3 linked regions of the Oryzias latipes genome follow. The protein of the gene in region 1 binds, or shares a complex with, the protein of each later gene. Links are inferred from orthologs where the notes say so. Each region holds a gene or a part of one and is shown in the gene's direction. Other genes may lie near its edges. The genes, in order: thoc6, thoc7 and sarnp.

The links.
Region 2: the proteins of thoc6 (region 1) and thoc7 are in contact, whole or in part, in a cryo-EM structure (PDB 7APK), measured with the Homo sapiens proteins. The link is inferred for Oryzias latipes from reciprocal best matches to the Homo sapiens genes THOC6 and THOC7. Residues at the interface, in NP_001334633.1 of Homo sapiens: Asp229, Trp232, His245, Thr252, Gln268, Asp269, Gln284, Leu285, Ser286; in NP_079351.2 of Homo sapiens: Lys110, Arg113, Lys114, Gln117, Glu118, Ala121, Leu122, Val125.
Region 3: thoc6 (region 1) and sarnp share a complex: the UniProt entries of both Homo sapiens proteins name them as parts of the transcription/export (TREX) complex. The link is inferred for Oryzias latipes from reciprocal best matches to the Homo sapiens genes THOC6 and SARNP.

The regions. Positions count from the first base shown.
Region 1 is NC_019866.2:286,652-289,454, reverse strand, and holds part of thoc6 (THO complex subunit 6 homolog), read left to right. Parts: intron 1-845; coding exon 846-894; intron 895-973; coding exon 974-1,045; intron 1,046-1,106; coding exon 1,107-1,209; intron 1,210-1,281; coding exon 1,282-1,331; intron 1,332-1,421; coding exon 1,422-1,484; intron 1,485-2,803. UniProt on the Homo sapiens protein: Component of the THO subcomplex of the TREX complex which is thought to couple mRNA transcription, processing and nuclear export, and which specifically associates with spliced mRNA and not with unspliced pre-mRNA.
Region 2 is NC_019863.2:16,703,223-16,707,025, forward strand, and holds thoc7 (THO complex subunit 7 homolog), read left to right. Parts: upstream 1-1,340; 5' UTR 1,341-1,360; coding exon 1,361-1,448; intron 1,449-1,672; coding exon 1,673-1,793; intron 1,794-2,219; coding exon 2,220-2,347; intron 2,348-2,439; coding exon 2,440-2,526; intron 2,527-2,620; coding exon 2,621-2,678; intron 2,679-2,767; coding exon 2,768-2,834; intron 2,835-2,937; coding exon 2,938-3,007; exon of another isoform or gene 3,008-3,084; coding exon 3,085-3,146; 3' UTR 3,147-3,242; downstream 3,243-3,803. Other genes in the region: interferon-induced GTP-binding protein Mx, read right to left, coding at 3,553-3,777. UniProt on the Homo sapiens protein: Component of the THO subcomplex of the TREX complex which is thought to couple mRNA transcription, processing and nuclear export, and which specifically associates with spliced mRNA and not with unspliced pre-mRNA.
Region 3 is NC_019865.2:25,904,869-25,909,109, forward strand, and holds the start of sarnp (SAP domain-containing ribonucleoprotein), read left to right. Parts: upstream 1-1,298; 5' UTR 1,299-1,314; coding exon 1,315-1,425; intron 1,426-2,257; coding exon 2,258-2,357; intron 2,358-2,444; coding exon 2,445-2,488; intron 2,489-2,757; coding exon 2,758-2,828; intron 2,829-3,062; coding exon 3,063-3,114; intron 3,115-4,241. UniProt on the Homo sapiens protein: Binds both single-stranded and double-stranded DNA with higher affinity for the single-stranded form. Specifically binds to scaffold/matrix attachment region DNA. Also binds single-stranded RNA. Enhances RNA unwinding activity of DDX39A.

The DNA.
Region 1 (2,803 bases):
GCACACACAGACGCACACACGCAGACGCACACACACAGACGCACACACACAGACGCACACATAGACGCACACATAGACGCACACACAGACGCACACACAGACGCACACACACAGACGCACACACACAGACGCACACCCAGACGCACACCCAGACGCACATACACAGACGCACACACCGACGCAAACACAGACACACACACACAGAGGCACACACACAGACGCACACACAGACGCGCACACACAGACGCGCACCCACAGACGCGCACACACAGACGCGCACAAAGAGACGCACACACACAGACGCACACACAGACGCACACACACACGCACACACAGACGCGCACAGACGCGCACACACAGACGCACACACACAGACGCACACACACAGACGCACACACAGACGCACACACAGACGCACACACAGACGCACACACACAGACGCACACACACAGACGCACACACACAGACGCACACACACAGACGCACACACAGACGCACACACACAGACGCACACACACAGACGCACACACACAGACGCACACACACAGACGCACACACAGACGCACACACACAGACGCACACACACAGACGCACACACACAGACGCACACACACAGACGCACACACACAGACGCACACAAAGAGACGCACACACAGACGCACACACAGACGCACACACACACAGACGCACACACACACAGACGCACACACACACGCACACACAGACGCGTACACACAGACGCGTACACACAGACGCACACACACAGACGCACACACACAGACGCACACACACAGACGCACACAAACAGACGCACACCTGCACAACCACCCGTGTTGTTCCTGCAGCTCCAGTCTGGAGATCCCAGAGATCAACGCCATGGCGTTCAACCCACGGGTGAGACGCACGCCACTACACGCACGTGCACATGCTGATGTACACACTCACACCAAGCATTCCGCGTGTGTGTCATCAGGACAACAGTCTGGCGCTGGGGGGCGGAGACAACAACATTCACGTCTTGGACCTGGAACATGGCGTCTTTAAGGTGCGTTCGAGTGCTGTGTGTTCGTGGCAGAGCTCCATCTTCCTCACCTGTGTTTCTGTAGGCGGTCCTTCACGGACACACGGATTACGTGCACTGCTTGTGCATGAGAGAGCGGGAGGCGGAGCTTCTGTCGGGTGGAGAGGACGGAGTGGTGAGGATGTGGGGTGAGTGACAGCTGCCGTCTTTGAGCTTCATCCTTTAGTGACGATGATGATGATGATGATGACGCTCTGCAGACAGCAGGACCGGGCGGTGCGTTCACTGCCTGGAGGTCCACAAGTACGAGGTGAGGTCTGGGGGGTTGGCGGGGGGAGGGGGGGGGGCTCGGATCCATCAGGCTGACGGACGGGTTCTGATCCTCGTGCACGTCTTTCAGGTGTGCGCACGGCCCCAGCACGGAAAATGGATCAGCTGCCTGACCACCGACTCTGACTGGATGGTAAGAAGATTGGAGGCGTTCGGGTCACTGGGAACGTTTCCCAGCCCTTCCTCACCGAGGAGTCTCCCTCTGTCAGGAGTCTTCCTCAGTCAGGAGTCTTCCTCAGTCAGGAGTCTTCCTCAGTCAGGAGTCTTCCTCACCGAGGAGTCTTCCTCAGTCAGGAGTCTTCCTCAGTCAGGAGTCTTCCTCACCGAGGAGTCTTCCTCTGTCAGGAGTCTTCCTCTGTCAGGAGTCTTCCTCTGTCAGGAGTCTTCCTCTGTCAGGAGTCTTCCTCAGTCAGGAGTCTTCCTCAGTCAGGAGTCTTCCTCAGTCAGGAGTCTTCCTCTGTCAGGAGTCTTCCTCTGTCAGGAGTCTTCCTCTGTCAGGAGTCTTCCTCAGTCAGGAGTCTTCCTCACCGAGGAGTCTTCCTCAGTCAGGAGTCTTCCTCAGTCAGGAGTCTTCCTCAGTCAGGAGTCTTCCTCACCGAGGAGTCTTCCTCAGTCAGGAGTCTTCCTCACCGAGGAGTCTTCCTCTGTCAGGAGTCTTCCTCTGTCAGGAGTCTTCCTCTGTCAGGAGTCTTCCTCTGTCAGGAGTCTTCCTCTGTCAGGAGTCTTCCTCAGTCAGGAGTCTTCCTCTGTCAGGAGTCTTCCTCAGTCAGAGGTTCTGAGGTTGTTCTGTTGTTCACCTGCCAGCTTGGTCGCCACAGCCAATCAGCAGTCAGATCAGCACAGGTGGTCAGGCAGAGTCCTTCAGGTCACAACCCCGTGTTCTACCTGGGCTGGGGACCGGCACAGGGAGACCGCTACCTTGGTAGGCAGTAGTGTGAAGCAAGTTGACCGTTAAAAAATCATTTAAAAACGGATAAATCAATAATCGATATCGGACGATACCATCGATTGAGGTACTGCAGGTTTATGTTACTAGAAGATAAAACCGACCAATCACAGCAGACGACACACGTGTGATGTCATCAACACAGAATAGTCCATCATTCCAGTCCAATGTGTGGACAGACTGTGAATAAAGTCATGTGACCATCCAGTGTCTAGAATGTTCTAAGAATGTTCCCTTTGGATTCTTTGGATGTGGAAAAACAACAGTGGTGAACTTTAGGAAACTAACATGTGAATGGATTTGACATTCATTCTAGTTTACTTGTTGGTTTGGACACAGATTTCATTAACTTGATGATCTGGAAGAAATCCAAGAATCTGGAAAACTGTTCAGGAGCAGGAATTTCTGTCTGGAAGTTTAGATGAAGAGGATCTGGATCCACTTTAGGACAGAGGATCTGGATCCACTTTAGGTCAGAGGATCTGGATCCACTTTAGGTCAGAGGA
Region 2 (3,803 bases), on another chromosome or scaffold:
ATTATTTTAAACTGTGGACACTAGCCATGAGGGTGTTCTAAGTGCTGAATCTGCACATAATGACTGTATCCAAATCCTTTTTGAGATTGTTAAAAAAGGTGCTTTGCTTGTATTTTCAAAACCATAACACACTCCCACTTAAAATGTTTGGTTAAATCTAGGCATGAATATGTTAACCTCTGATTTCTAATTGGCAAACTGCTGAAAGTTTGTACTGTTTTCCTGTAAATCTAATATACGCGTGAACCTTTGTTAAATAACAAAACTCTATTTGCCCACACGGCTGGTGTTCTGGTGAGAAATAGAGCACATTAAGTTTCAAACAAGTTTCATTGTAATTTTCTAAGGTGTAGGAACAAACATGAAATCAGACCTGAATTGATCTGTCAGAAAAAAAACGAGGAAGTGGTGACCAAGAAAATATGTTGGCCAAATGAAAACCTGTTTAAATCTATAGTTGAAGCAGGTATTGTACCTATAACCGTACCAGTAACATTACTATTTATGAATTATTATAAATGGTGAAATTAAAGCTAGATAGAAATCTTTGTCCTCAATAGCCACTTAGTAGCTAAAGGTTCTTATAGAACAGAGGTCTGCAACCTGAGGCTCCGGAGTTACATGCAGCTCCTTTATGATTCCATTGTGGCTCTTTGGTTTTGAAAAAAAAACGCTAACGATTTGAGTTACTAATAATGTTTTGGGGTTGTTTTTTTTTTTTTTTAATTTATTTATTAAACTTTCTTTTATTTGGATTCTGCTCCAATGTTGTCATGTTAATATATGACTATAAAAGTAGAAAAGAACGAATATGCAGCAAAGTCTGACTGATAGAAAAGTCTATGTTTGACCTGACTTTCTTACATGTTTTATTCAAGTGAGTCTGTTGGAGGATTTAATTTGACATGAGGTTTATTTCGTTTGAAAGGAACCTATATATGCTGCTGTCAAAAGTAAAGGAAGTTAATATTTTAATAGAAAGAAAATGATAAAACTTTCATAATTCAATTATTTTAATATCTAAATGCTACATGGTAAAAATGAATGGTTTAATGGTAAAACAAAATATGTAATGTGCCATTCTCGATTGATAATTCAGCTTGCAATTTAAGCATTCAATCTAAAAAATGCATTTTAGAATTTAAAATTCAATGTGTAATGCTACAATGTAAGCTGACATTTTTAAAAGCAAAATGTTAAATAAAACAAAATCAATTGTATTCTAAACTGTCATTGGTTTTTAGTCCAATAATATTCTGCAATATAATAAAAGTTCAATTTTGCTGTTGAGTCTAAAAAGCACAAAAATGTGGGAAAAAAATTGCCACATTGAATGTCCACCAATAGGGGGCAGTAGAAAATGAAACCGCTGATTTTAACCTGGAAAAAGAATCTTGCTCTACCGGAAATAGTATTGCTCATTGCAAACATGGGGGCCGTAACAGATGGTAATTTGGTGGTTACTTCGTTTAATATAAAGTTTTATTAAAAATAAATAAAGTGTTTATGTGTTAAGTTATTGTATACAATAGCTTATTTCTAGAATGTAGCAGTGTTTACGCAATCAGTTGGGAGAACTGTGCAGCTAATTTATTGCCCTGCAGTGCTAGCTCAGATTAGCAGGTTGCAATCTAGCCTATAGTTTATCTTGTCTCTTTCGTTTCTGTTAAAGATGAAGTCATTCGGAAACGTCTTCTTATTGATGGCGACGGAGCCGGAGATGACCGCCGGATCAACCTGCTGCTTAAAAGCTTCACTAAATGGTGCAACTCGCCCGGGACTCCGGAGGAAGGGTCAGTGCTGAATGAATCTGAGTCTGAGCTGACGCATCAGAAGATTTACTTTCCAGATTTTAATGTGATTTAGCATTTACGAACAACTCTTCTTGCGAAAGAAAAGTCACATTAGTTAGTTCTTACGTTGTGTGTACAGGCAATTCCAAGCTAGTTTATCAAACTCCATAGAAGGTTAACGGGTCTCAGTTGCATGCAGTTATACTTACCCAAGGAGAAGAGTAACTGTCTTCTCTACAATCTATGGCAAGCAGAGTGTGACACACAGCACAATGTTTCAACTCTGACCATGCATTTCAAAAGGCTGTTTCTATACATTTCCATGATGTGTTTTTATATACCCGAAGAGTAGAATGGTGTCTTCCTTGTTAAATATGCAACAAAAAATCTCACTTTAATTCCTTGTGGTCTTGTGTTTGCGTGTAGATTCACACAGTACCAGCGGATGTTGGGCACTCTGGCTCAGTGTGAGTTTTCCATGGGAAAGACGTTGATGGTTTATGACATGAATCTTAGAGAAATGGAAAACTATGAGAAGATCTATTCAAATATAGGTGAGGTTTTATTGCTCTCGTCTGGAAGCATTTCTGTTTACAATATTAGATTTCATCTATATACCCCCCCCCCCACCCTCCCCCCATTGCAGAACAAAACATCACATCTGCACATGAGAAGATTGCAGAATGCAAAAAAGATATTCAGAGGGCAAAGAGGATACGAAAAAATCGCCAAGGCAAGGATATTTTGATATGGATTGCATATTTTATTTATTGTCCTTTTTCAATAACATCCTTGGAGTATTATAAATATGTTTGTATTTTTTCCAGAATATGATGCATTAGCCAAGGTAATCCAGCAGCATCCAGATAGGCATGAAACACTCAAGTAAGTGGCTCCGTTAATTCAGATTTTCGATTGCTTGTAAACAGCGTACAACAGTTTTGCTTCATTTTTATTTATTTATTTTCTTTCAGGCAGCTAGAGGCGCTTGACAAAGAGCTCCAACAACTGTCCCACATCAAAGAGAATGTGGATGCAAAGGTATATCCAAACAGAATTTATGCAGCTTCTGTGTATTTCGCTGATGATTTGATTTATTTTAAAGTTGTTGTTTTTTTCTATCAAATTTACTGTTCCACCATAGTTGGAGTTGAGGAAGAAGCAGTTCCACGTTCTTCTTACCACCATTCAGGAGCTACAACAGACACTTGAGAGTGAGCACTTTATTCTTAATGCCAACTGATTTTAAAATTGTTTCAAAAAGTTAAACTCAAAATTTGTCTTCTTTTAGATGATGAGAAGTCAGATATTGAAGATGCCAGTCAAGAGAGCCCTGCAGGGAACAGTGAATAACAGTGGAACAGAATGAAATGTTCTTAAATGAGTTTGGGTTTGTGAGACAGAATGCTTTTCGTATGTATTTTTGAATAAAATTCTCTTGATTCTGTCGCTCTGTCTGGTTTTCCCTTTTATTGTTTCAAATAAAAATAAAAAAATCAAAGTTCACAGACTGATAATAATTTCCCTCTATATATATGCCCAAATAAAACAATGAACATAAAAACATGCTCCACACTCGAGGTGATTATAACAATATATAAAAGGAAAACATCTGTGTGCCCATATAATGACTTTTGCTGCTGTAAGATAATCATTCCTGTTAGAAACAGCAGATTCTACTGGACTACCCAAACACAACAACTGAACATTTACACTAACATGTAATTTGGAGATGCAGAAAACAGATCCTTCAAAGTTTTTAGAACTCTACTAGGTATGCACGGGCCTGCAAAAGGCGCTTAAGGCGATTCTGCAAAGTAGCCCTCTTACTGCCGATGTCAAAGTCCTCCTTCAGCAGGAAATCCAAGTTCTCCTTGTCCTGAATCATCTGCAGCATCTCTCTCTGGAGCTGGCTGGCTGATTGTTGCAGCATTTCATAACGGATCACCAGGGGGATTTGATCAGCTAGACGCATGCCAGCAATCTGCAGGATAATGTGGAATAAAAGAT
Region 3 (4,241 bases), on another chromosome or scaffold:
TGGAAGCACTTGTGACTCCCTAAATTCATCCGGCTTTGTCCTTCATGCCCACAACTTGAAAGTCAGTCTATTGGAACTTTTTTTGTCTGTGTATCGTATGCCGAGCTGCAGCTTGGGTTAAACCTCTTTTTGAACAATGTCAGCATTCACAGCAAATCCAGTTTGAACACGTTTCATCTGTTTTGTGTTCACCCTGACCCCGCCTCGTGTCTCAGTCCATCCACGCCTGAGACCCGCTGGTGTTGGGTTCTTTCAGCCGGTGGCGTGTGTCAGCTGACCCTCTTTAAGAGCCAAGGTCAATGCTGTCAGTTTTTGTTCAGTATTGTTGTACTGTGATTGAATTTTTTTTTCTCTCACCACGAGAACTGCAACATAAATATAAAAAGGAACAAAATCTGTTTTACCTCTGTTGTGTGTAGTACTAAAACAGAAAAACTGCTTAAACTAGAATTTTATTTTTATTTTTTTTTGGTTAAACTCTCATTAATTGTTCAAACATTTCATACAAGCACCTGCATTCCTCTGTAAACCTCTCAGACTTGTAGATGGTTTTGATTCCTCAGTCCAGCCTGAATTTATTTTTTACAAACATGGCCTGGTCAGGTGAGTTAATAGTTTTGAAACCAATGTGTTAAACAATGAAGGTGACATTTTAGGCCTATCTGACATTTTAGATCTGTGAAGATCCACACCTGATGATTCATGGAAAATTAGGAAAAATAGTCTTTATTTATTTGCCACATGGATGTAGCAAATAATTTTTTCATCAGACAGTAATATAATTGTGTTTTATAGATGTGGTTGAAAAAAATACATGTTTTAGAAAGTTCCAGCATGATGTCAACTGATTTAAATGTAGCTGTTACTCAAATACATGAATGTGGATCCACTGCATAAACTGCTTCCATTATTCCTCCAGGTAAAGAAAATAAAAGAAGAAAATTAACTTCTAAAAAACATCCACAATCTATATGGCAAAGATAAGATAAAATGAACTGAGAACAAAGAAAACAGTGAGGAATGTCTACGAAAAAAGTATAAATAAGGATAAAAAATGTTAGTAAACACTTTTTATCTGAGGCTAAATTGAATAAGTATTATAAAATCGCATTTTAATCATGATTTTATATAATAAAAAGTTTGTTAAGGTCTTAACACGTCTTTTACATTTATTTTTACAAAATTTTGCGGCGATTTATTAATTTTTATTTTGAACAAAATCTCTACAAGTTTGTTTAAAATGCAGCAGGACCATCTGCACGGCGTTAATATGCCCGACAGGAGGCGCTGTGATCAATGACGTCGTTGTGATCAATGACGTCGTTGTTCAGGAGCACAGAGGAAGAAAAGCTCGACTCTGATTGGACGGCAGGAATACATCAACAGAGAAAGATGGCTGAAGTGGTGGAGCTCCAAAAGCTGAAGGTTGGTAGAATTAAAAATACGTTTTTCCTGACATTGGGTGAATTTCTTTGTGGTGGAAATGATGAAGTCAGTATTTACACCGGAACCAGCTAGCGGGGTGGCGGCGGGCTGCAGAAAATCGTGTTCTCCGGGTCTTAAGTCTACGAACCGGCATGTGTTCTGAGCTAATCCGGGCTAAAAGAACGACGAAGGAAACGCGGAGGGAAATGAACGGATAATCTGAGAAACTATCTTTCAACCCACCAGTAATAAAGTTCGACGTAAAACAATGAAAACAATCAGTTACAGCAAAAATCGAGAGGTGGGTAAATGGACCGAACCACAACCGCTGTTTGGAAAGACAAAATAAAAATGAGAGATTTTTTTTACTTAACTTAACTCAATCCTGCATTTCTGCTTTTCAAAGCAAATGTGATGAACGACCATTTTGAAAATAAGTAATCGTAACATACATATATATATATATATATATATATATATATATATGTATATATATAAAAGGAAAAATAAAATTCTAACAATGCACAAATTATTGTTATCAATTTAAACTGATTTAGTTCAACAGATGATGAAATCAGTTTATGTAGGTGCTTTCAGATCGTGGTAAATTTATCTTTAATAAAAAAGAACCGTCCTTTCGTTTACAGAGTTTTATGGAATAGTAAGAAGGTTACTGATGTGGAGATGGAAAAATATATATATATTTTTTTATAGTTTCAATTACACCAATATTTCCAAGCAGGTGTTGGCTGATCTATGTTTTACTTTTTTTGAATCACGTCAGTAAATTTTAAAACCAATTGTTAATTTGAGGTTTCATCTTCCCTTTCAGCTTGCTGAGCTGAGGCAAGAGTGTGACGCCCGCGGTCTGGAAACCAAGGGAAACAAGGGCGAGCTGATCGCTCGGCTCCAAGCCTACCTGGAGGAGCACGGTGAGAACCGGGTGACCCGTTTTTGCACATCAACCAAATGTTGTTTCCTGCCAGCTCATATTGTCTGTGTTGTCATCCAAACCACAGAGGACGATGTGGATGTTGATGAAGTTCTGGCAGAGGACACACCGGTAATGTCTTTTATTCTATCCGTTCTCTTCTAGTTTAGCAATAAAACAGAAACGTTCAATCAATGTTTGTTGAGAAAATCAATATTGATTTGTCAAATACACAAATCTATTCATTTTATTGATTACATTTCTTCAGGCAGACACAGCTCACACACAGTTTTTAGTTGAATAAACTCCAAATTTTATCATGAAATATTGTTCAGGTTTGTTTCTTCTGCTTGTTTGTTTCACAAAAGCAGTATGTCTGTTTTTTTTTCTTTTCTTTTTAGGAATTCACTAAAGTTGAGAGCTCCAACAGCATAAAGGAGGACAACCACACTGAAACAATCGCAATTCCAGAGTAAGTTAACTGTACAACAAATGTGCTTTTTCCTCTTTACCTTTCAGATTCCTCTTTGCGTGTGAATAAAGTTATCGTTTATCATTAACTATTATTGTAAGATAGTAACTTTTCAGGGAATTACAGTCGATGTTGCTCAGATGAGAACATCAAAAAAGAGTTCAGCTGGATCTGCTGGACTGTCATGTTCTTAGTTTTTTTTTTAATTTTTGAGAAAATAAATTCTACCTTCAGGTCTGAAGACAAGAAAGTGGTGAAAATCTCTCCTCCGTTGTCTGCTGGTGAAGTAAGTATGAGTCGTTTTCATTCACAAATAAACCTTGGTTTAGATTTTAGATCACGTCTGAGCTCTGAAATCTAATTTTAGAAGAGAAAAGCTTCAGAAAAACACTAGTTGACCTCAGACTTCACCTTTGTGCTCGTGTTTGCTCCTTTGGTTTGGTGTTTTTAGATTAAGTTTTGCTGAAATCTCACTTTGGGTAGATGCTAAAGCCAAACTGTTTAATACAAAAACATCTATTTTTCTGAAAAATAAAGCAAATCTTTCCTAAAAAGTGGAAAAACGAATCTGTAACTTAAATTTAACCAAATAAGAGCACAACCTAGTTATTTAAACTTAAATATTTTGCTTTTTTAAAGGACTCCATCCATTCATATTATTCATCATACTTGATGAATAATATGCTCTTACTCTGATAAGGACTGGATTATGGTGACTTTGCAAAAAAATAAATAACAATAGTGGTAGGATAACATCAGTGGCGGACCGTGCATTACACACCTGGGCCTTCAGTAGTGCAACGTCTGAATCACTCAACGCCTCATTAACCATATTATGATGCAGAAACTAGCTTTGCATTGCAGATTGAAAATTCCTGCAGCCACAATCAGTGCCTCTAAATACAGAAAACAGTAAACAAATCTTGTTATGCAACTACAGCCAGCACAAAACATTACCGCTACCATAACCACATCAATTAGGAATTTATTTATGATATTTAGATGTTCACTCATCAGAAGATGAGATTATTTGATGACAAAATCCACCCTCCTCTCTTTCCTCAAACAGTTCCATCATCCTGTCATGTAGATTATTGCTCTTCAGTTCCGTCAAGAAGTCATTTTCTGCTCGATCAAGGCCAGTGCTGAGAGCCCAGTCTGTCCATTTGTGTTGCTGCGTAGGTTTGAATTCACTTTAGATCCGAAAATGTCCGCTGGTCAGACGCAGTGAACACGGGGATGGTTGGTGCCAAACGCACAAATCTGTATGGCTGTTCATGCTCTCACTTAGATTTTTATTGGTTACTGTCTTTACTGTCAGGTGTTTTGGATAAAGCAATTGTCTAAAAAAAGAAACTTTTCTCAGCTTTATTGTCCCACATGGAGGAAAACTATTCTTTTCCCAAATGTGTC